3 linked regions of the Diceros bicornis minor genome follow. The protein of the gene in region 3 interacts with the protein of the main gene of each other region in a pairwise test. Links are inferred from orthologs where the notes say so. Each region holds a gene or a part of one and is shown on either strand. Other genes may lie near its edges.

Region 1 (7,444 bases), on a different chromosome or scaffold from region 3:
CAGATTCATTCTTCAGTAGCTGAGGGAAGTTTTATCATCACAAAGCAGGCCAGAAACACCAACTAATGGCAACTTTTCTTTTTTTGTGTGTGAGGAAGACCAGGTCTGAGCTAACATCTATTGCCAATCCTCCTTTTTTTTCCCCCAAAGCCCCAGTAGATAGTTGTATGTCATAGTTGCACATCCTTCTAGTTGCTGTATGTGGGATGCGGCCCCAGCATGGCTGGAGAAGCGGTGCGTCGGTGCGCGCCCGGGATCCGAACCCGGGCCGCCAGTGGCGGAGCGCACGCACTTAACCGCTAAGCCACGGGGCTGGCCCCACTAATGGCAACTTTAAGGTGCAAGAATCATCTGACAACTCATGTTCCAAAATTTGAGTCGAAACTGCAGCGAGGTGAGATGTGGCACTAGCACTGCTAGGCTGTGGCACTCCAGCAGGCACTCTGCGTACACAGCACACTGTAACTGCGCTAAGTGGCTGCCTTGCCAGGAAGCCACTTCCCATCGAATAATGGTAGTTTGAGGTTTAAGCACAAAATCTGTCTAATCTGCAACAGTGCTGACCGAACTGAGCTCCTGGGCACAGAAATGCAGTTATGTTCATTAGAACATTATTTATAATGGCCCCAAACTGGCTATGACTTACCCTTGGAAAATGGTTTAGGTGAAGTTACAGCAGACAAAATTGACCCATATATGGGGAAAAACACACTGTACCACTAGGCAAAAAAGAATCAAAACCCGACTTCACAACATATACAAAAGTTCACTCAGGGCCGGCCCCATGGCTTAGCGGTTAAGTGCTCGCGCTCCGCTGCTGGCGGCCTGGGTTCGGATCCTGGGCGCGCACCAACGCACCGCTTCTCCGGCCATGCTGAAGCTGTGTCCCACATACAGAAACTAGAAGGATGTGCAGCTATGACATACAACTATCTACTGGGGCTTTGGGGGAAAAAGCAAAAAAAAAAAAAAAAGTTCACTCAAAACAGATCATAGACTTAAACAGCTGAATTAGGTCAAAAGCTCCCCTCCTTGCTAATGGCAGCTCTTATACTGTGACCCCATCCTGTTACACGTGAGTTACATATCTTGCATTTTCACCTACTGAAAACATCTGAGAGCAGGGCCTTGTTTTGCTCAGTCAGAGCCTGCAGTGTAATGAGTCAGCACTGTAAACCTGAGATCAAACTGATTCCATTAGCACTGTAAGGCTGTTCCGGGATGCCTCAGGGCAGGTCCTGCGGGGTCATGGATTTGGTCCCCTGGAGTCCGCAGGCCCCCAATACTTACTTTTCTCCAGCAACTTTCCGTACTAATTTGGCTTCTGTCCCATTTACTTCCAGCTCCCAACCTCCGGACATCTTGGGGAGGGACTTATGCTTCTGTATCTTCTTTTCCTCCTTAATTTCATCACTCAGGAATTCGACAAAAGCTTTGTCCCCTACAATGAAAAGCCATAAGACACAGAAAAAGAAGAGCCAGTCTGAAACATAAAAATAACCTGTTACTGCACCCAGAAATCTGGACTTGGACTGTTTCTAACACTTCTGCTATTAATGGTGCCTGGGAACTTAGTCCAATTCACATTCATTAAGCCTGTGTCCTCATCTGTAAAAATGCCCTAACGGCACCAGTGGGAATTCTGCAAAAGTGACTGCGAACAATGAACCATTACCACGTTTCACCAAAAGCAAGAGAATTCTCAATTACCCTGACCATGCAAAATAACTGATAACCATTCTACAGATAAGAGAGGTAGGGTGAGTTTTACTTGAGCCAGGGTGAGGATTATAATCTGGGAAGGCAGTTTCCACAAAGGAAGAAAGCATTCCAGAAAAGCATGGTTTTCAATACAATCTTAAACCGTTTTAGACCAAAGAACATACATTAAACACATCCAGGATACATATTCATCAAAATTTCAAAGAGGTATTCAGTTGCAGATTAGCAGGTCAACACGACCCTGATGGCGGGAAAGGGACTAATACAGGCGTTACTGATAGGGCGTAGGAGGGGAAGTATGCATTCTTCTCTTTTTTTTTTATAATTTTATTTATTTATTTTTCTCCCCCAAAGCCCCAGTAGATAGTTGTATGTCATAGGTGCACATCCTTCTAGTTGCTGTATGTGGGACGCGGCCTCAGCATGGCCGGAGAAGCGGTGCATCGGTGCGCACCCAGGATCCGAACCGGGGCCGCCAGTAGCGGAGCACGAGCACTTAACCACTAAGCCAGGGGGCTGGCCCAATGCATTCTTCTCTTAAGAGAGTGCATTCTTTAATGGTCAAATCAGATGTACAACGTATCTTTGATAGACCATAAATCAGGCTTCTTTAGTTCAAGCTGAATCCACTTTGAACCAGAATGGCTACCCCATATACCCCAACATGTGAAAATCCCGTCATCCTCTTTCACTTGCCAACAGACATAACTACGCTACTTTTAACCACACCCTGAGCCTTCCCAAAGTTCCACTTTCGAGAGACTAAGGATAAAGTCAGCCTTCAGATTTAACCGTATCTCTCCCCTCAAAATTAAACACTTGGAGGATCGGGGAAATGTGATCACACGTGGGTTTAACCCTCTGATTGTCAATAAATGGGAACACGTTCCGGACCTCGGGCGACGGCTCCGGCTGGTCTACCCGCGGTCTACCCTTCCCCGCCCGCGCCACGGGCCCCCACCCCATCCAAGACTCTGCCCCTCGCGGCCCCGGCCCACGTGCGCGAGACTCACCTTCCGTGTGCAGGGCGCCGCAGCCGCAGGCGCAGGGCCCGTGAGGCCGCAGGAGGCCCGGCCGCCGCTCCGACCCCGCGCGCACGCTGAGCAGCCCGAAGGGCCGGGCGCACGGCCGGGGCGCGGGCTGCAGCAGCTGCCGGAGCGCCGGGGAGAGCGCGGCGGCGCGGAGGCCGGCGATGGCGGAGCCCAGGGAGCGGGGCACGCAGCGCAGCAGAGGCAGCATCGCGCAGGCGGAGGCAGACACGTGCGGATGCGGAGGACGCCCGGGGCCAAGGCACCCCCTGACCGAGCGCGCCGCCGGAAGTCCCGCCCTCACCCGGGAAGCACTTCCGCGCCGTCGCTTTGCAGACCGAGGGCGCCGTGGGCGGGACTGCGCCCTCTGCCGGGGGGTCCTTGACTCCGGTAACTGAACTTTAGCTGAGCAGGCCCGAGCTTGGTGTCCAAGGCTGTTTAGTTTGCCAGCATCAGTTCTCTCCAGTGGCTGCTCTCCAAATTTCCATCTACTGTTCTCAAAGCACGCCAGGCTTTCTATGACTTCAATGCGCTCTTGCCGCTCCCAGCTCCCAAGACCAGCCTCCAAGGTCATCCCCCTTAAGAGGCCTTCCAGGAACCTCCTCCTCTCTTCTATGAAACAAATAAGGACTCACGCCTGTGGGACCTCGCCCCTGTGCTTCACTCTCCTCTCAGCAGAAACCTCCTGGCACCGCGAGGTTAACTGGCAGCCTCCCCTCCCCTCCACCACAAGGGAGCTCCTGAAGGGCAGGATCCCTGGTTAATTCCTGCCACTGCCCCTCTGCACCCTCCAACCTTGCACCCAAGTTCTGATGGGACGTCATTTTTCTGGAGGCAAGAAGCCATGGCTTCCATCAGATTTAGGTTAAGAACTGATGTTCCGGTCCTGCCTGGTGGCATAGTGGTTAAGTTCGTGACCTCCCCTTCATGGCTGGGGTTCGTGGGTTCAGGCGTTTGGATGCTTGAGCAGACCTACACACCACTTATCAAGCCATGCTGTGGCGGGGTCCCATATACAAAACAGAAGATTGACACAGATGTTAGCTCAGGGACAATCTTCCTCACCAAAAAAAATTAAAAAAAGAACTGATGTTCCCACCTTACCAGGACACCTAGGATATATGTTACCAAGAAAGTAAGTCATCCCAAATTAGTGGCCAAGATAAGACTAATTCTTAATATATTCTACACAGCATTCTGTGAAGAAGGGAAAGGAGACTCAAAAAGAAGCCACACATCATGTACAAGATTCATTTTTAATGGACTTGGTACTCATGTGCAAATTTGAGCATTATATACAAGAACTGATGTTTCTGTAGAGCTATGTCTGTTTTGAACAAGACCAGACTCTAAAAATACAACATAAAGCTGAACCAACTTGATTTCTTCTGCAAGTTATAATATTCTAATCAAATAAAATACAATAAAACCATCACTTCCCCACAGGTGCAGTGTTTCCTTATATGCTCAAGTAATGGTATCTTAAGATGCCTGGCCACAGTCCCAAGTACTTCCTGACAGCTGGATTAAATGGATTTATGCATCACAGTACATTATCATTGTTACCCACAGAGCAAAAACGTGTCTCCATTCTGGCATCTCCTTACAACCAGCAGAGATGCGACATTACATCGGGGTCTTGACCAAGGACCAGTGCTGGCAGTCCTGCCCCTTGTAATGAAATCTGTGCTGCTCTGGATGTTTCAGGCTCCATGACTACCAGAAGCAGAGAGCAAACACCTGAGGTGTGTGATCTGCTTGGAGCGCATCTCCTGACACGAAGCTGCGCATGGGAGCTGGTGATTTGCCCAGCGGTGGATTTCACAGGTTGAAAAAGAGGTGTCACACCATCAGAGATTTTACCAATTGAAAAAGAGTAGCTCAAGATTGTATCGCAACATCACTGTGAAACACTTAACTTCCTTAAGAAAGTTTAAAGTGTTCTGTTCCCTGCAGCTCAACAGAAATAACTTTATTTCTTTGTAGTAACAAGTGGAGTCAGAATGGATTTTCCAATCTGAATTAATCCCTGAGCAGGTATGTTAAAAATTAACTTTTTAAAAAGCCCAATAAAAAACTACTGTATTAAAACTCTACCAGAATGTTACAGTGTTAAACTTATTTCTGTACAGAAACATTAAAACTACTTAGAAGCTATTTACATTTACTTAGAAGCTATTTACCCCTTACTCAGGCAGGAAAGAATATACATTTCCAGAGACTGTTCAGGATGGACATAAATTATCCGAAGTTACATTCTACTTGCACCAGAGAACACCTCTTGATAGAGAATTTGCTGAGGAACATAATAAAGCACCCCACTCCCAATTTTGTACCAGCATGATGAATGCTTTATTAAAAATACAATAGTTCCTTTTACTAAGTCAGGCTAAAGATCCTAGGTCTCTATTAAATAAATGAGAAAAATACACTTTAAAAAATTTCTGAAAAACTTTTCAGAAAGTCAGCAACAGTAAGAATAAGTCGATCTGAGGAAGAGCCAGCTAAAAGTCTAAGAATTCAGTAAGAGAGGGTATATAGGATCTGTCGAATCCTGTTCGGCCTAAGTGTAACTATTTCTAACAGAAATAAATCACAAGTACCCAGACAGCCTTGAACACTGGCTAAAAGCTTGCCTGCTCAAGGCCACGGCTCCCGTTGGAAAGCCTGGGCCAGCCGGACGTACACAGGCCTGGACAGAGCGGACCTAGGACGGGGCAGGCCAGCAGGCTGCGGGCTCGGAGAAGAGCTCGCTGGACCCAGAGGGAAGAGACAACCCACTGTCTTCAATCTGAAGAGCCTCTGGGGCAGTCTGGTCCCCTGCTTGTCAACTGCAACATTCACTCTGTAAGTGATGACGAAAATATTGCACGTGTGTTTAGACCAATGTAGCACAAGTAAAGGGCTAAACCTTGGCTGCTTCTAGGGCAAAACATTCTCTGGGGAAATATTATTTGCTTCTGATAATCAAATAGCTAAGAAGAACTTTTGGTGTCATTTCCCTTCTCAGAATATGAGAAAAGGAGGAGACTGTGGAGACCCTCTAATTCCCTCTGACAAATGTGGAAACTGAGCCTGGAGAGGGGTGGATGGCTAGGAAGCAGCAAGGCTAGGTTGTCCCTAAGAAGAAGGACAAAAAGATCACAGAAAATAAATAAGATACACACCAGAAAATAAAGAATATATACGCCAGACGTGGCAGGTGGGGCGAGCCACTGCTGTCTGGGTTCGCAGTGACCACTGGCCGCTGTCCTCCACCCCACTCCCAATGGCCCTCTGCCCAGGGGCCCTGCCAGAAGAGAGACAGCTGAAATGTAGCACGGCGTCATTCCCTGTGCTCACATGTTTCTATGTGCCCAGTTAGAGAGAAAAATGGCAACTGGGTATGCTGGAGGCATCACACCACAAGGCCAGTTTCCCATGTCTACACTTGACACGATTCAGAAGATACAGATCACCCCACACCCAGGAAACTTCCACATCTCCTGAAAGCACAGATGGGGATATGAACCAGAGAGGCACCGAGGATGAAGAGACACAGCCCAGCGTCCTGTGAGCACTCCTTTACTGGTCTCTGAGAGGGCCACACCCTGGGGAGTGTTCACAGGGGCAGCCAGCCCATTAGGTGAGACACAACAGCATCTCCCTCCTGAAACTTCTACAGAAGTCAATCTCTTATGCTTTCTGTTTAAAAACTTCATACAGATAGATATTAAAATAGATCCAAGGACAACATCCAACTCTGCGATTTCCTATGGTCCCCTTCCAGAAAATCCCTCTCAGTCACAGGAACTCAGGCGGTTTTGTTGTACTCAACTAACACCATGGAGAAAGCGATAACATCGGGCATAAGGGCTCACAATTCATCGTATGTTTATCGCAGGCCGGGCACAGCTCTGGGTACTTTGCATTCATTTTCTGTAAACCTCATAAGTCCACCCCTGTAAGTATTATTATTACCCTCATTTGGCAGATGAGGAAACCGAGGCTCAGAAGTTAACTAAGTCACCTAAAGTCACCCAGCAATAACCGAAAGCATAATTTTGAAGTTTCCAAGGTAAAAATGGTATGTACACATTTACACAGTTCAGTCTTCAGGGTTTAAACAAAGACGCTCTCGAGCTCCTGGAAATCAGGCACATTCCGCTACATCAAAACCTGCCACCTCTCTAGGCGCCAACCTGGAAGTCAGCTATGTGGACAGCTATGGTCTCAGCTCCAGGCACCAGCAGATCCGGCTCAGTTTCTGGCGGTTCTCAGCTTCCTCCTGAAGTACTCGGGGGCAGCCTCATACAGCCACTCGGCGTCCACGACGCAGAGGTCCCGCATGTAGCACTTGTTGGTGTAGAGCAGCTCGGTGTACACAACGCAGGCTGGCTTGCAGTGGAAGAGGACAGACGAGGGGTGGATGGCCACCGGCTGGTGGGTGTCCGTGGTGGCATAGGACCCGTCCGGCTGAAGCTCGGCGGTGCTCATGAAGAGGCTGTGAGCCAGGCAGCGGCGGACGCTCTCCGTGTCTCCGCGGGATGATGTGATTGGCATCGACATCTGTTTCAGGGGGAAGCGAGAAATGGAAGAGCCCAAACATTACTGCTCAGCAGCACATGGTATTTGGAGCAACCACACCTAAAACACAGCCCATAGTGCAGGCCTAATGAAGTGGAGGTTGACACAGGAGGTGGTTACCTGAGATG
Region 2 (7,026 bases), on a different chromosome or scaffold from region 3:
TTCCACACCTAAGTTTGGGGAGTGGGGGGGTCATAGGTAAAGAACCTGGCTCTGAATCAGCCAGGGTCAGGAGGGCTCAAGCCAAACAAAAAAAGGCACAGGCATCTTGTTTAAAAGCATTCCTGAATAGGGTAGCCGTTTTTCTTTCCATCACTAACAAAAAAGGTTAAAGAATTTGTCTAGGCCACAGGAAAGCAATTAGGATTAAAACAGGTAACAAATGCTATGTGTGCTGCCTTTCAATTAGCTACTTCAGACCAAATATCAAAAACTGATGGGCTGTACTGAGAAAATAGCAAAAGGAAAAATGTCAATCGCGGCACAAAGCTTTCAAAGTTGGAGGCTATGACCACCTGGGAAGAAGCAGGTACATATGCTGGCTGGTAAAGTCCCTACACCCCTGCTCCAAGCTCACCTTGACTAGCTTGTCCCAGCCACAGGAGACAATGATGGGATTGCTGCTGTTGGGTGAGAAGCGGACGCAAGACACCCACTCCGAGTGGCTCTCATCCTACAGAGAATGGAAAGGAAATAAGGCAAAACTGTCTTGTCCCATAAAACTCTAGACCCCCACCCCTCCCCTCAGTTACATGGGATACATGTTGATAGCCTTGCATTCACATCCCAAGAACCCAAACCTTTAAGATCAACAGACCCCTTTTAGATTCCAGATGAGGCTTGAATCACCAGATACAGCCAAGGTTAAGAAGGATGGGAGAAAACCTTCAACAACATGTGCCTTCACTTTACCTGGACAGTGTATTTGCATACACCCAGAGTATTCCATAGCTTGATGGTTTTATCACGGGAGCCAGAGACAATCTGCCGGTTGTCAGAGGAGAAGGCCACACTCAGCACATCCTTGGTATGTCCCACAAATCGGCGTGTGGTGGTGCCCCTGAGAGGGAAGACTTGGTCACTCTCTCGACTTTGCAAACATTCTTCCACAGTCAGACTATTTCCCTGGGGACCTTGTTCCTGTCCTAGTGGAGCTGCATTACTCACACAACCCTGGTCATGGCTCTGATCACAGCAGGTGGTTGGCTGAGATATGTCAGAGAATCCCTTCAGAATTGCAGGACATGTCCTCATTCCCACGTGGGGATTGGCTGACAATGTCGTCTGTCATCACTGGGATCCTCTATTATGCCTGACCATCCCAAGACTGAGCTCCCAAAATAAAACATGTTCAAACTGTCGCCTACTCCCAACTGCAATATCTGACAAAACTGCTCACCAGACCACTCCTCAACAATTCTGCATCACTCATTAAGAGCAACGAGAAGGAAAACCAAACAACGCCAACCATCTCTAGGTGCTCTTTGCCTTACAGTGCCCTCAACGGACCTAATCGCCCCTGGGAAACCACTTCCCAACAGTATCTACCTCTTTTCTGCCCAGGCCCCAGAGCTAAGTGAGCAGCTACTTGCGTTGTGAGATCCCAGAGGCGAAGGGTTCCATCCCAGGAGCCTGAGAGGGCAAACTGGCCATCTGAAGAGATGACCACATCACTAACAAAGTGGGAGTGACCCCGAAGAGCACGCTGTGGGATGCCGTAGTTGGTCTCATCCCGGGTCAGCTTCCACATGATGATGGTCTTGTCTAAGAAAAGGTAAAACAAAAAAGGAAATCCAGTTACAAACCTCGACACTCACTTGCTGACCTACAGGACAACCCAAGATGCCTCAAGGTCACTGAGACTTACAAAACGACAAATTAAGGACACTTAAGTGGGGAGGGTAACTGCAGGCTATAAAAGTGGTTACTTGTCAAATCCAAGTGACTCACTATTCAAGAATAAACAGCCAAATAGACCTAAGCAGTACCACGAGAATTTAACTGAAGTGAGCAGAACTTTATTAAAGACCATGGATTCCCCTTTCCGATATTCAGACCACTTCAACATCTACTTCGAGACTTACCTGAGGTCTAATGCACAAACAGAGCAGCCTGGCTGTGGGAAGACGAACTATGGGCGACTACTGCTAAGGGCTACCAGAGTGCTGAAATTAGGAAAACTTGCTTTATACGCTACAGGATCGGATGCTTTCACTGACATGTGTAGCACTCAGGGAGCTTTTAAGTACAAGACATGATCCTAGCCTCAGACAAGCGTCAACAGTGTGGGCACAAACGGAAGGCACAAGAAGCCTCCAAACGCAGTCACGCACACGGAGAAGGAAAAAAAACAGGGCAGAAAGGGCAGGCGCGGGGCAGCCGGGAAACTGAAGTCATGAGGTCCCCTTGGAGTCCACCCACTTCCCACCCAGCAGAGGTCCGGGCGGCAGCTCAGAAACAGCCTCTGGGTCTCAGCATGGGCTCTCAGATGGCATGTTGGGTTCATCACTGCCCCGCCCGATCGGTAGGTTTCTGGGCACACACTTAGCCACACCTGCACGGAGGCGGGCAAGAAATAAGAGAAAAACACCCAACCCCGCAACTCCCTGGCAGCTAAGAGCTGATCTATGTCTCGGTAGCTGCTAAGCGGGGATGCCTTAGGGATTTATCTTGGCTGAGGCCTAGGCAAAGATCTGCATGGCCCAACTCACACCCGGACGGAGTTTTCCGGGCAGCCAACTCGCGCGCCACTGGCCTAGCCCGCAGTGCATGCAACCCCCTTCTCCCCCAATCCTCTGCCCCACACCTCAGCCATACCTCGCGAGGCCGACAGTATCATGTCTGGGAACTGGGGAGTGGTAGCGATCTGGGTCACCCAGCCGTTGTGGCCCTTGAGGGTGCCACGAAGGGTCATCTGTTCAGTCATGGCGGTGGCGGGTGCGAGTGTCGCCGCAGCGACGAGGATGGAACCGGATAGCTCAGAGACACGACCACTACAGCCACTCGCGCTGCCGCCCCGCCGAGGAAAAGAGAGAACAACCTACGCCGGAACCGGATATACCCGCCTTCTCGAACAAAATGGCGACCGCTGTGCGTCACTCCTGCTCAAGATGGCGGTGCCATGTAGCCCATAGGACTGGGTGAAATAACAGGACCTCATGGTCCCCTCCGCCACGCAACATAACTTGGCAGCGCCGTACAAATACGTTCTGAAATCAACACGACCGAGTCCTTAAAAAGGATCCTCAGGTGTCGACTGAGGCGTGACGTCTGAGCCGAAGAATAGGGGAGGCGCGCGGCGCGTTCCCAGAAGGCTCGCCCGGCCGCCTGACGGCTCCTACGTGGCGCAGCGCGAGCCCCGCCTCTCCGCTCGGCGGCTGGGGGCGCCACGGAGAGGGAGCCTAAAGCCGAGGTCGCAACTCTGAGTGATGGTGGGCGATGTGAGAAAAACGGTACTAAACTTTTTAAATAAACGGTGCTCGGGTGAACTATTAAACCCTAACAGATTTCCATGCGCAGAAGGCTGCTCTTCCCTCAAGAGGTTTGTGCCCTGATGGTATTGGCCGAGGCACTCCGGGTCCGGAGGGACTTAATGCAAAGCCAGACTAAGGCGAGAGTGAGGTATGGAGCGGAAAGCCGGCGGCGAACGAAAGAAAAGTCGGTCTGTGGGCCGCGGGACGGCCACCCCGCCCCGCCTAGGCTGCGCGGAGAGCCCCCGCAGGAACGGAACGGCCCGGGAGGACGCACCTCCGGGTTCGACCCCTGGGGCCTAATCACCCTCCAGGGTGGCCCGCGGCCCGGGGGGCCAAGCGTGCCCTGAAGGAGGCGCGCGCACAGGGAGGCAGTGGAACGTGGGTCCCTGGCTGCCTGCCGGCCTCACGTTCCGCCGCACGGCGCGTGAATCTGTGGAGCCTCCCGCTCCCGCACATCCCCTGACTAGGAGAGACTGCTGGGAGCGCCCCTCTCAGATATTTTTTCAAGGCGGGGCAGCACAGATCTGGATGATAGCCGCCGCTATCGTCTGTGCAAAATAAAGGGCGGATTGTACATAGTATTTTGTTTTCTCTTTGGAGGATGTATTAGCCTTAGTTTCTCACCTGTGAAATGAGATTGGAAATACTGGTACCTACCTCACGTGGTGTTGTGGAGAGTAACTGAGTTAAGAGAAAGTTAAGGTAAAGCACCCAGAACAACGCCTGGCAGAATAAATGCACGCAGCTTACTTAGTGAGCACCTCTTGGGTTCCAGGCCCTGTTTTAGGTCTTGAGGATACAACTGTGAACAAGACAGATGAGACCTTTTTTTTTTTGGAGTTTACATTCGGTGGGGTGGGGGAGGGCAAGGTGACGGGGCGATCGGAGCAAAGACTCGAAGAAGGTGTGAGGGGGTGGGAGGCAGTTGACAAAGGGCCTCGTAGGCTTGGGGAAGGACCTCGGCTCCTCAGGGCGCTGTCCTGGCTGTGCTCCTCCATAGCCTGATGACTCCTCCATCGCTTGCCTCTTTGGCACCCCCAACTCGCTGTCCTTTAGCTTTTCCAACACTGAACTCGACCCGACCCACATGTTTTGCTTCTCCTGTGGTCGTGGGGACCCCTCCCTTCACTCACCGCAATATCAAGCTCGCTGTCCACGATTCTGGTCGTGCCTGCGCCTTCCTTGGCGCTCGGCACAAATGGAGACGTGAGCGACTCCACGCGTGCCTGTACACGCAGAGGATTTCCTCGGCCCTTAAGAGCACTCGCTCCTTCACCTCCTACCTCCTCTCCCCAAAGACATCATCATTCAGTCACATTATTACAGTTTTCCCGCCTCGAAAATCCGGCTCTCTGTTTCTTGAACATTGCCCAGGGAGCTCCTGTGGAATCAGCATCCGTGAGGTACAGCCTCCAGGTCCCTCACGAATGCTCCAGGATGGGACCTTTGCACCGCTGACCCCTTTCCAGAAGCCGGCAGGTCCCATGCGAGCCCCGCCCCCTGGTTCCCCCTGCCCACCTCTTCCCGGCCCCTCCCGGAGTTCTCCCCGCCCCGCCTCCCGAGACCCAGGCCGCGGAAGGTGCCCTTCGCTTCGCGCGGGTCAGTGGGTCCCTTCCCACGACCGTCCGTGACTCTATAAGACGATTCTGGCAGTGCCCTCCCCATCCCCCCGCCTCTTTAGAGCCGAAAGGGGAATTCGGCTGTTGCGCTGGAGCCCACGAGGACCGCGATGGCGATGCCAGCAGAGGAGAGGGAGAAATGGAATGTGGTGGACTTCCCCGACGACCAGACCCGACCAGACCCTGCCGGCTTCAGGCTTTCCACCTCGGAGTTTTCTTCCAACCACCCCCGGCCTCTCCTGTCTTGGTGGGGATGCTGGTGAGCCACAATGCCACTGAAGGACAGTCCTGAGCCGAGGGAGGTGCCGCCCCGACCCTGAGGACCACATCGGCTGCAGCGAGGGGCGGGGACGGGCGTGCATCAGCCGCCTTTCCCTCTCAGCCCCAGCTGGACTTTAGCCCTATCCACACCTGCTTCCCTCAGGGGCCCCGCGGCTCCCTCCAGGCATACAGGCCCCCACCTGGCCAGGGTCAGGGTCCCACCTGGACGCCTCACTCCTTCCGGGGAGGGCTCTCGGTCAGCAAAGGGAGCCCGACCCCTTCTAGCGGGGTGACATCTCTAAGCTGTGGGATGCGTCTGAGAATCAGCCGCGCGCCTCCCACAACAAAGTCTACTACCTGTGCTGGCTGGGTTGAGCCTTTGGGCTTCTTCTCACCTAGGGCGTCTCTTCTCCAACCTCACAGAGGTGGAAGCCTGCTGGTGGCCCCCACCCAGCCTTTGGGGAAGACTCTTCGCAGAGCTTCTCCCAGCTCCTTCCTCCCCTCCATGCCCTGTGGGCAGAACCTGTCCTAGCTGGGCTCTCCACTCCGGCCCCGCCCACCACTCCTGGCCCAGAGTTCACCTGCATCTTACCCACTTTTCCTCTGAGCCCCTGAGCTGCCCCTCTCTCCCCTCACCCCACGCGCCCCATTTCCATTCCATACAAGGTAAGAATCCCAAGGAAGAAATTGGAGAGGCTTTTCTAAGGAAGTCCGTCTCACCATTCCTCTTGTGGAGGGAGCCCACAAGGACCTGCACAGCTGGAAAGAGCCTTTTGGGTTTCCCTGCCAGAGCCTTATGACCTCTTCTCCAGGAGCAGAAGCCTCCATCTCCTATTACCAGCATTTAGGAGGTGAGACAGGTCTTCCCTTGAATGCTGAGGTGAGGGCTGTTGTAGGTGGTGGTGGAGGGGCTGGGGAAAAGGTGTGTGGCCAGGACCAGAGAGCCTGCTGACTGCCAGCTCAGGGCTGGGTGACTTCCCTTTGTTTTACTGCCCTGATGCAGATTCAGTGTGGTTAGCTCTGGCATGCTCCATACTGTGTTTTGTGGCTACACAGGCCCTCCCCTGCTCCTCCAATTCATCAGTTCTCTCCCACACAGCACTACACACTGTTTTTCTGCCTGGAAGGCCCACCATATCCCACCCTCCTTTTCTTAGTTAAATCTAAGCTTCCTTCTGGTGTCAGCACAGGTTGCCAAGTCAGGGAAGCCCTCTGTGACCCTCAGGTGTAGGTCAGGCTCCTTTGTTTCAAGCTCTCCTAGCAGTGGTGCAGCGTGTGCTGGGCCTTCACAGCATTTAGCTCAATTGGTCATCATTTGAATCCCTCAGGGCTCTCCTCTGAGTGCCCTAAGGATGGGGACTAATCAGTTTCTGCTCACAGGTTGCATTCCCAGCACCTGGTAGATGGTTTGGCTTGTGGAAGATTCTAATCTTGGTGGCCAGCCTCACAGGCTGAGTAGTTAAGGGCAAGTAGTTAAAGGGAGGGCGTTCCAGGCAGAGAGATCAGCATGGGAAGAGGTATACAAGTGGTTTGTGTGCCCAGGTTTGGGAGGGATGGTTTCAAGAAGGAAGGTAAGAGTGAAACCCAAGGTGGGCAGGGAGCCCTAGTCTCAAGGAATTGACTGCTAAGGAATCTGGATTTTGTCCTGAAGCCTAGGGCCTCCCTTTAGGATTATCTCAGCCTTCTCCTGCCTATACTTGATTTTGCTGAAAGACATTTATTGTCAGTGTGGAAGCTAGGTTGCAGGAGTAAGACTAGAAGCAGGAAGAGTTCAGAAGCTGGGCAGGAGGGTTCCTAGGAGGGTCATGAAAGTCCTATGAAGGGAGGGACTAAGG
Region 3 (6,909 bases):
TGTATGGACATGCGTGTGTGGGGTTTTTGTCTGTTTGGTATTATAATTACTAAAGATAGTTTTTATGTCTTGAATTATTAGAAAGATCAGTCTATTACACTGACCACATTAAGCGCAATGTCGCAAATAACTCATGCTAATGTGGTGGAGTGTATTTTAGGAATGCATTTAGGGATGCAATCTCCCAGCAGAAAAATGGTCATGGAAAAATGTGAGGCTGCTTCATAAGTTACCATCAGTAAATTCTACAGTAAACAATAGCCCCATAAAAAACACACAGCCAGCTAATATCAGTTAGAAGCTACTCATCTCTATTTCTTTTTTTTTTTTTTTGTGAGGAAGATCAGCCCTGAGCTAACATCCATGCTAATCCTCCTCTTTTTGTTGAGGAAGACCGGCCCTGAGCTAACATCTACTGCCAATCCTCCTCCTTTTTTTCCCCCCAAAGCCCCAGTAGGTAATTGTATGTCATAGTTGCACATCCTTCTAGTTGCTGTATGTGGGACGTGGCCTCAGCATGGCCGGAGAAGCGGTGCGTCAGTGTGAGCCTGGGATCCGGGCCTGGGCCGCCAGTAGCGGAGTGCACGCACTTAACCGCTAAGCCACGGGGCCGGCCCTACTCATCTCTATTTCAACAGTTCTAAAGGTGTTCTTAATCTTGAAGCAACTAGAGTTGGTTGCTTTACAACTGTTTTAGGCAGTTATGATTTGGATATCAGGAGGGAGTGCCTGCAGCGCATGCCTTAAGAACTTGCTGTGGCTGGCTATGTTGGAAAGGAAACTGGAGGAAAATGGGGGAGCAGGCTATCTCCAGATGTCCAGGAGGAACATGACAGGCCCTTCTCTCAAGTGGTAATGGTCTTTGTGTTGTGGCTTAGTGACGGCAGCTTAAAGATGCCAGAGACAACTCTGGCTTGAAGCAGGGCTTCTCAAGGTATGGTATCTGGTGCATGGGGTGATTCTGGTGTGTGAAGAATCTCTGGAAATTTCATTCACCTCATAATTATGAGACCTTGTTATGACTCTACCTAGTCTTAAGCCTGATTCAAAATGATGGTGTTGATACTAATAATGTTGATAATGACTTTTACTGAGGATTTACTCTGTGCCAGGCTTGGTGCTGAACAGTTCATATGCAATATCTGACCCAGTCCTTACAACAGCCCTCTGAAGTACATACCATTATTTTCTCCATTTTACAGATGAGAAAACTGACAGACAGAAATAAGGAACATGTCCAAGGTCATAAAGTTAATTACTCGCAGAGCCAGGATTCAAATCATGGTCTAATTCCAAAATATATGCTTTTTAAAAAAATTATGGTAAAATACACATTTACTATTTTAACCATTTTAAAGTGTACAATTCAGTGGTATTTAGTATATTCACATTTTGTGCAACCATCACCACTATCTAGTTCCAGAAAATTTTCATTACCCCAAAAGGCAACTTTATGCCCATTAAGCAGTCACTCATCATTCCCTTCACCCAGAACCCTTGGCAACCACTATTCTGCTTTCTGTCTCTATGGATTTGCCTATTCTGGATATTTCAAATGAATGGAATCATATGAATGCCTTCTTTCTCTTAGCATAATGTTTTTAAGGTTGCAGCATGTATCATTTCATTCCTTTTTGTAGCCAAATATTAATCCATTGTACCAATTTGCTATCCATTCATCAGTTGATGTACATTTGGGTTGTTTCCACCTTTTGGTTATAGTGAGTAGTGCTGCTATGAACATTCAAGTACAAGTTTTTGTTTGAACACCTGCTCTCAATTCTTTTGGGTATAAAATATAGGCTTTTTATCATAAACCTCTGCTGACTCCAAGAAGGAGATGACCAAATATCTTAAAGTGTTCAGTAATTCAACAAATACTTAGTGAGAACTTACTGTACAGCTACCTAGAACGCTAAGCACTGGGAACATAAATTGCAATGAATAAGACAGGCCTCCTCCCTGTCCTCCTTGGGAATGACAGAAAATTGAACAAGTGAGTAAAACACAGACCTGGCAGCAGTTAGGATTAAGGGTTCCTTTTCCATTTGCTATTAAAAGAAAGTAAAAGCTGGTAATGACAGACCTGAGCAAGACGCTCTAACAGGATGCTTTTAGAAGCAAGAAGCAAGCACAACTAAGAGTAGCTTAGACAATGGTGGCATCTATTGTCTTACGTAACAATAAGTCTGAGGTAGGGAAGTTCCTGAGTGGGATGTCAGCAGCTCAGCAACATCGGGGAACGAGGAACGAGGCTTCTCCATCCTTCCGCTCCGCCATCCTCATAGTCACAATCAGGGACAGCAGCTCTAGGCGTCATGGCCTCCATACATAACAAAGACCAAAGACGAGAAGTGGGAAGATGGCAGATCCCTTCCCAATCCCTTTTTAGGTATAAGAAAAATGTTCCTAGAAATCCCCCAGAATACTTCCCATCAGGTCTGTTCTGCCAGATTTGCACCACAAGCCTATTCCTACACTCATCATTGGCAACGGAATGGAATTACAATGCATGATTTAAGATTAATCAAGTTTGAGGCTGGAAGTGGGCCCAGGTTCCCTTGGGGCATACAGCCACCTGATGCCCTAACAAAATACAGGTTCCGGGAAAATGTAAGAGGGAAAGAAAGGGCTGCAGGATAGGCAGCCAAGGTCTAGGCAAGATATCCCGGAGGAAGTCCAGTTCAGTGTTCTCTGAGCTCCAGGCGTCAATTGAATATCTCAAAAGAAAAAAAACAAAACAAAACAAAACCCAAACCTCAACATGTCCAAGACTGAACTCATGATTCTCATCAAAATGGTCTCTTTTAGTGCTGTTTCTTTGTGAATAGCACCACCATCCCAGCTGCACGAGTCAGAAAAACAGGAGTCATCACACCTTTCTTCTTCCTCATCACCCATATCTAGTGCATCACCAAGTCCTGTTGATATAACCTCTAAAATAGCTCTTGAAGCTACCACTCTCTTCACCTCCACTGCACCAGCCTAGTCCAAGGCACCATCATCAGCTCTTCCCTGGAGCTCTGCAAGTCTTCGGTCCGGTCTCGCTGCGCTCCCTTTGACCTCCCTCCAACCTAGTCCTTCACATAGCAGCTATGTGGCCTTTTCAAACACATGCTCATGCCTAAAAGTTGTTTCCCACTGCTCCTAGAACAATGACCAATCAAGGCCCTCTCCCAACTCTTTGCAATACAGTTCACTGGTTTTCTTTGAGCTTGAATGGGTTGCGCTCCATCCCACCTGAAACTTCTGCACTTGCCCTTGCTCCTGCGCTCGCCTTCCTTCAGATCTCAGCCTAACCGTCACTTCCTAGGGAAAACCTTTCCAAGCTTGCTAATTAGGTCGGGTCCCTTTGCTACAGGCTGGAAGAGAGGTCTATGCCTTTCCTTCAGGGCACTTTTCTGTCTACAGACTTAAGATCCATAAAAACACGGAGCTATTATCTTCTACAACGTAACGCCTGGCACATAGTAAATGTTCAATACACAGTTGTTGAATAGCTAAACGAATATATGTACTTAAAAGCGGAGTGGCCGATAACGAATGCGGAGCCAGTCCTAAAGAGAACACAAATAATGGCCGTGACCCATGCACCTCGGAGCTGCCTGGACCACAAGACTCGTTGCTCCTCCCAGTAGCTCCGCCCCGTGGGCCCCGCCCCTCCCTGCTGAGACGGGGGAGGGGCATAGGGGTCGCGCGACGTGACAGCAGCCGGCCGCTGATTGGGCTTCCAGTTGTGCCGGCTAGGAAAGGGGGCGTGTCCGCGCGCGCTGATTGGCTATCTGGCGGCGGCTGGGCGGGCGGTGGCGGCGGCGCGGGGGCGGGCCCTGGGAGGGACCTGACCAGGCAGGGCAGGGAGGGCGGCCGCAGCGGGCGGGATGGGTCGTCGCCGCCGGCTTCGCTGAGACTCGCTCGCGTGGGCTGCTCCGGCGGGCCCGCAGTGGTCGCGGCGGCATGAAAGGCGCTCTAGGGAGCCCCGTGGCTGCGGCCGCCGCAGGCGCTGCGATGCAGGAGAGTTTCGGCTGCGTCGTGGCCAACCGCTTCCACCAGCTGCTAGACGACGAGTCGGACCCGTTCGACATCCTACGCGAGGCCGAGCGCCGGCGCCAGCAGCAGCTGCAGCGCAAGAGGCGCGACGAGGCGGCGGCGGCGGCGGCCGGGGCCGGCAACCGCGGCGGCAGGAGCCCGGCCGGGGCCTCGGGCCACAGAGCCGGCGCGGGCGGCGGCCGCAGGGAGTCCCAGAAGGAGCGCAAGAGCCTCCCGGCCCCCGGCGCGCAGCAGCCCGACAGCACCGGGGCCGGCCCGCAGCCGCCCGGTACGCCCCCGGGGGTGCACGGTGGGCAGGAGAGGACGGAGAACGGGGTCACAGAGGTCACCCTCAGCCGCCCACGACCCCACTGGGAGACTGGGATCGCTGGAACCTGCTGCAGAGAGCGGAGGGGGCTCGGGGAGCAGTTGGTTGAGTTGAGGGTCCTTGTGGCTGAGAAAAGAGACGGGGATGGGGGGGTGGCACGCCCATTCTGGCCTCTCACGGTCCCTTCTGGGGGTTGGGGGAGTGCAGGCTTGGGCTGGGGGTCTCAGAGCCCCGAAACTGAGCCTTTCCAAGTTGGGCAAAGTTGAGGGATATTGCTGGGGTGCCGTGTGGGGGCTAAAAGTGAGGTCGCTATCCCAGGGCTCTCAAATCTAGAGCCAGCAGGGACTTTCTCCTCCTGCAGCCCAAGCTCTGCAAGATTCGGGTTGGGAGGTAGGAGAACCGTGGTGGGGGGGAGCGCCTCCGGCCCCTGGGTGCGGCGAGAGCAGGGGTTTGCGGCCCGGGGCCGAGGGTCGAGCCTCTGTGATGGAGGGAAGGCCTGGTGACCGCGGGGGGCCTGTGACGTCAGGGCCGTGAGCGGAATGCGGCGGGTGGACGCGGGTGCTGGCGCCTTCCGAGCCGTGCCTGCACCCGGCCCCTTACGGCTTCCAGCAGTCAGCCGGCATCGTGTTGCATCACTGCACGTAGTGTTGATGGGATGTGTGAGTTGTCGGTGACTCAGGCTGCTTTAAGAAAAACGTTTTAACCTTTCCGACAGGCATATTCTAAGTTCCCCCTCCCTGCTTAGCCAGAAGCTCCAGTGCGAAGCTTGGTGTACTACTGTCTATCTGGGGAGGGAGGGTGTGCGAGTCGTTTCTCACCTGAACTGCAACAGTGGCATAGTCAGCAAGACTCCACCCGTGTTTCCCTTTTTCCTAAAATTAGGCAGTGGTCCTAAGGTTTGACTATATAGTTCGACTGCTTCAGCCAATGTTCGGCGGTGTAGTCAGCTCGTCTTTACTGGCTTGCTCTTTGCTTGATAGAAACTGTGCATCCCAGCCGTGAGAGAACAACTCCTGAGTTAAGTGTTGGGCTTTGACTCCTACACCTAGGTAACGTTGACTTTTATCTGTGGAAAGGTCAGTGCAGCAATATTGCTTGAGAATCAGCAAGTCAAGTCACTGTAATAAAGATGTTGAAAATTATTTAAAATGCTTTTGGATATCTGAAGACCTCTTGGTAGGCCAGTAAGTTTATGAGCCTATTTAAACAGTGATAGAAACTTGAGATATAATGTACATTTTTTGTATTCCATTTTTTCTCATAAATCTATTTAGATAAATATCACAATAATGAAAGAATTGAAGAAAGCTAAGCTTTTTCTCTCCCTTTATTTTTTTAACAAATGCAAGTAAATATTTTATCCTTTAGAATAGTGTGAAACTGCATTTGGTGCTAATATATCACTTTTTAACCTTTTGAAAATTTAAAATGTCATGCATTTTTGTTATAAGATTTTAAATAATTGAGAAACGTATGAAAGTGAAAATCCCGTATTTTTCCTACTGTTAACACCTTGCATTTATATACATAAATGCACAAAGCTATTTTTTCCTAAAATGATACAAACTGAGTTGCAACCTGCTTCTTTCACTTAGCGTTGTAGTCTAGTTTAAAACTTTTTTTCAGTCAATTGTTTGTGATCCAGGTGGTCTGGCTTTTGAGATCTGTATTAAAGATCTTTAGTTAATTTTGTAGTTAAAATGGAAATCTTGTCATTCTGGTTCTTTTTCAAGTGTGTTCTTTCAGAAGCAAACAGCTCATAATTTCCATTTATGTAGTTATTGTACTAAATTTATCTGTAATGGGTGTTAGAGAGCTACTCTCTCGAGGTTTGTTGCCCTAATTGTATTGGACTGTGCTTTTCTAACACTCAAAATTTTTAATTTAGTTAGAATATTATAAGTGAATGCTTAGTGCAGATAAGAATCAAAGGCAAAACATGTTTCACATATAATAGAAACATTTATTAATCTCAAAAGGATGTGGAAATCATAAGATTTTCCCGTGGAAATGGAGATTTTTTTAATGTCCTTAACTATTTGACAGTGTACGTAGACCCTCGGGTGAGCTTTGCTCCATAAATTCCTCCTGAAGTCCTCAGGGACTCTTCAGCTTTGCTGTCTCTAGCCTTTCAGGACTGTTGTCCTTGGTCAAAGCTCAACTTTATTTTGTAGGAACTGTCACTGTGTATTTTACTGTATTCTGTCTCTTCATATGGGTTTGGGTTTAGGTCAGTGATCAGACTGCTTGTGCCAGCCTTTATTGGAAAGGGCCGGTGAAATTCAGTTTTTGCCCTCTCCTCTTGGAGCTGCTGATCCAGCACAGAAAAACTAGGTTCGGCTGCAGTCTTGATCTCTTAGTGCTCAATTGTGGGAAAAAACCGGACCCCTGTTATCTTTGTCTTTTTGGTTTTAGGAGAATGAAGTGTTTGCAGGGTATTGATAATTATTCTAATAAGTAGCCAATCATATTTAATGGTTTTCAAGTTATACACAGAAACTTTGGAAGAAGCTTTAATATAAATTATACAGTAAATGTCATTTTAAGGTTTGAAT

The links.
Region 1: the proteins of HABP4 (region 3) and C1QBP interact in a two-hybrid assay, tested with the Homo sapiens proteins (2 studies listed by BioGRID and IntAct). The link is inferred for Diceros bicornis minor from reciprocal best matches to the Homo sapiens genes HABP4 and C1QBP.
Region 2: the proteins of HABP4 (region 3) and RACK1 interact in a two-hybrid assay, tested with the Homo sapiens proteins (2 studies listed by BioGRID). The link is inferred for Diceros bicornis minor from reciprocal best matches to the Homo sapiens genes HABP4 and RACK1.

What each region holds. Positions count from the first base shown.
Region 1 is NC_080757.1:12,097,418-12,104,861, forward strand, and holds the start of C1QBP (complement component 1 Q subcomponent-binding protein, mitochondrial), read right to left. Parts: upstream 3,001-7,444; 5' UTR 2,962-3,000; coding exon 2,736-2,961; intron 1,442-2,735; coding exon 1,291-1,441; intron 1-1,290. Other genes in the region: ATP-dependent RNA helicase DHX33, read right to left, coding at 6,990-7,298.
Region 2 is NC_080740.1:94,223,860-94,230,885, forward strand, and holds the start of RACK1 (small ribosomal subunit protein RACK1), read right to left. Parts: upstream 3,048-7,026; 5' UTR 2,765-3,047; coding exon 2,656-2,764; intron 2,354-2,655; exon of another isoform or gene 2,286-2,353; intron 1,603-2,285; coding exon 1,431-1,602; intron 1,140-1,430; exon of another isoform or gene 1,061-1,139; intron 899-1,060; coding exon 751-898; intron 512-750; coding exon 416-511; intron 9-415; coding exon 1-8. UniProt on the Homo sapiens protein: Scaffolding protein involved in the recruitment, assembly and/or regulation of a variety of signaling molecules. Interacts with a wide variety of proteins and plays a role in many cellular processes.
Region 3 is NC_080761.1:3,916,054-3,922,962, reverse strand, and holds the start of HABP4 (intracellular hyaluronan-binding protein 4), read left to right. Parts: upstream 1-3,872; 5' UTR 3,873-3,954; coding exon 3,955-4,315; intron 4,316-6,909. UniProt on the Homo sapiens protein: Ribosome-binding protein that promotes ribosome hibernation, a process during which ribosomes are stabilized in an inactive state and preserved from proteasomal degradation.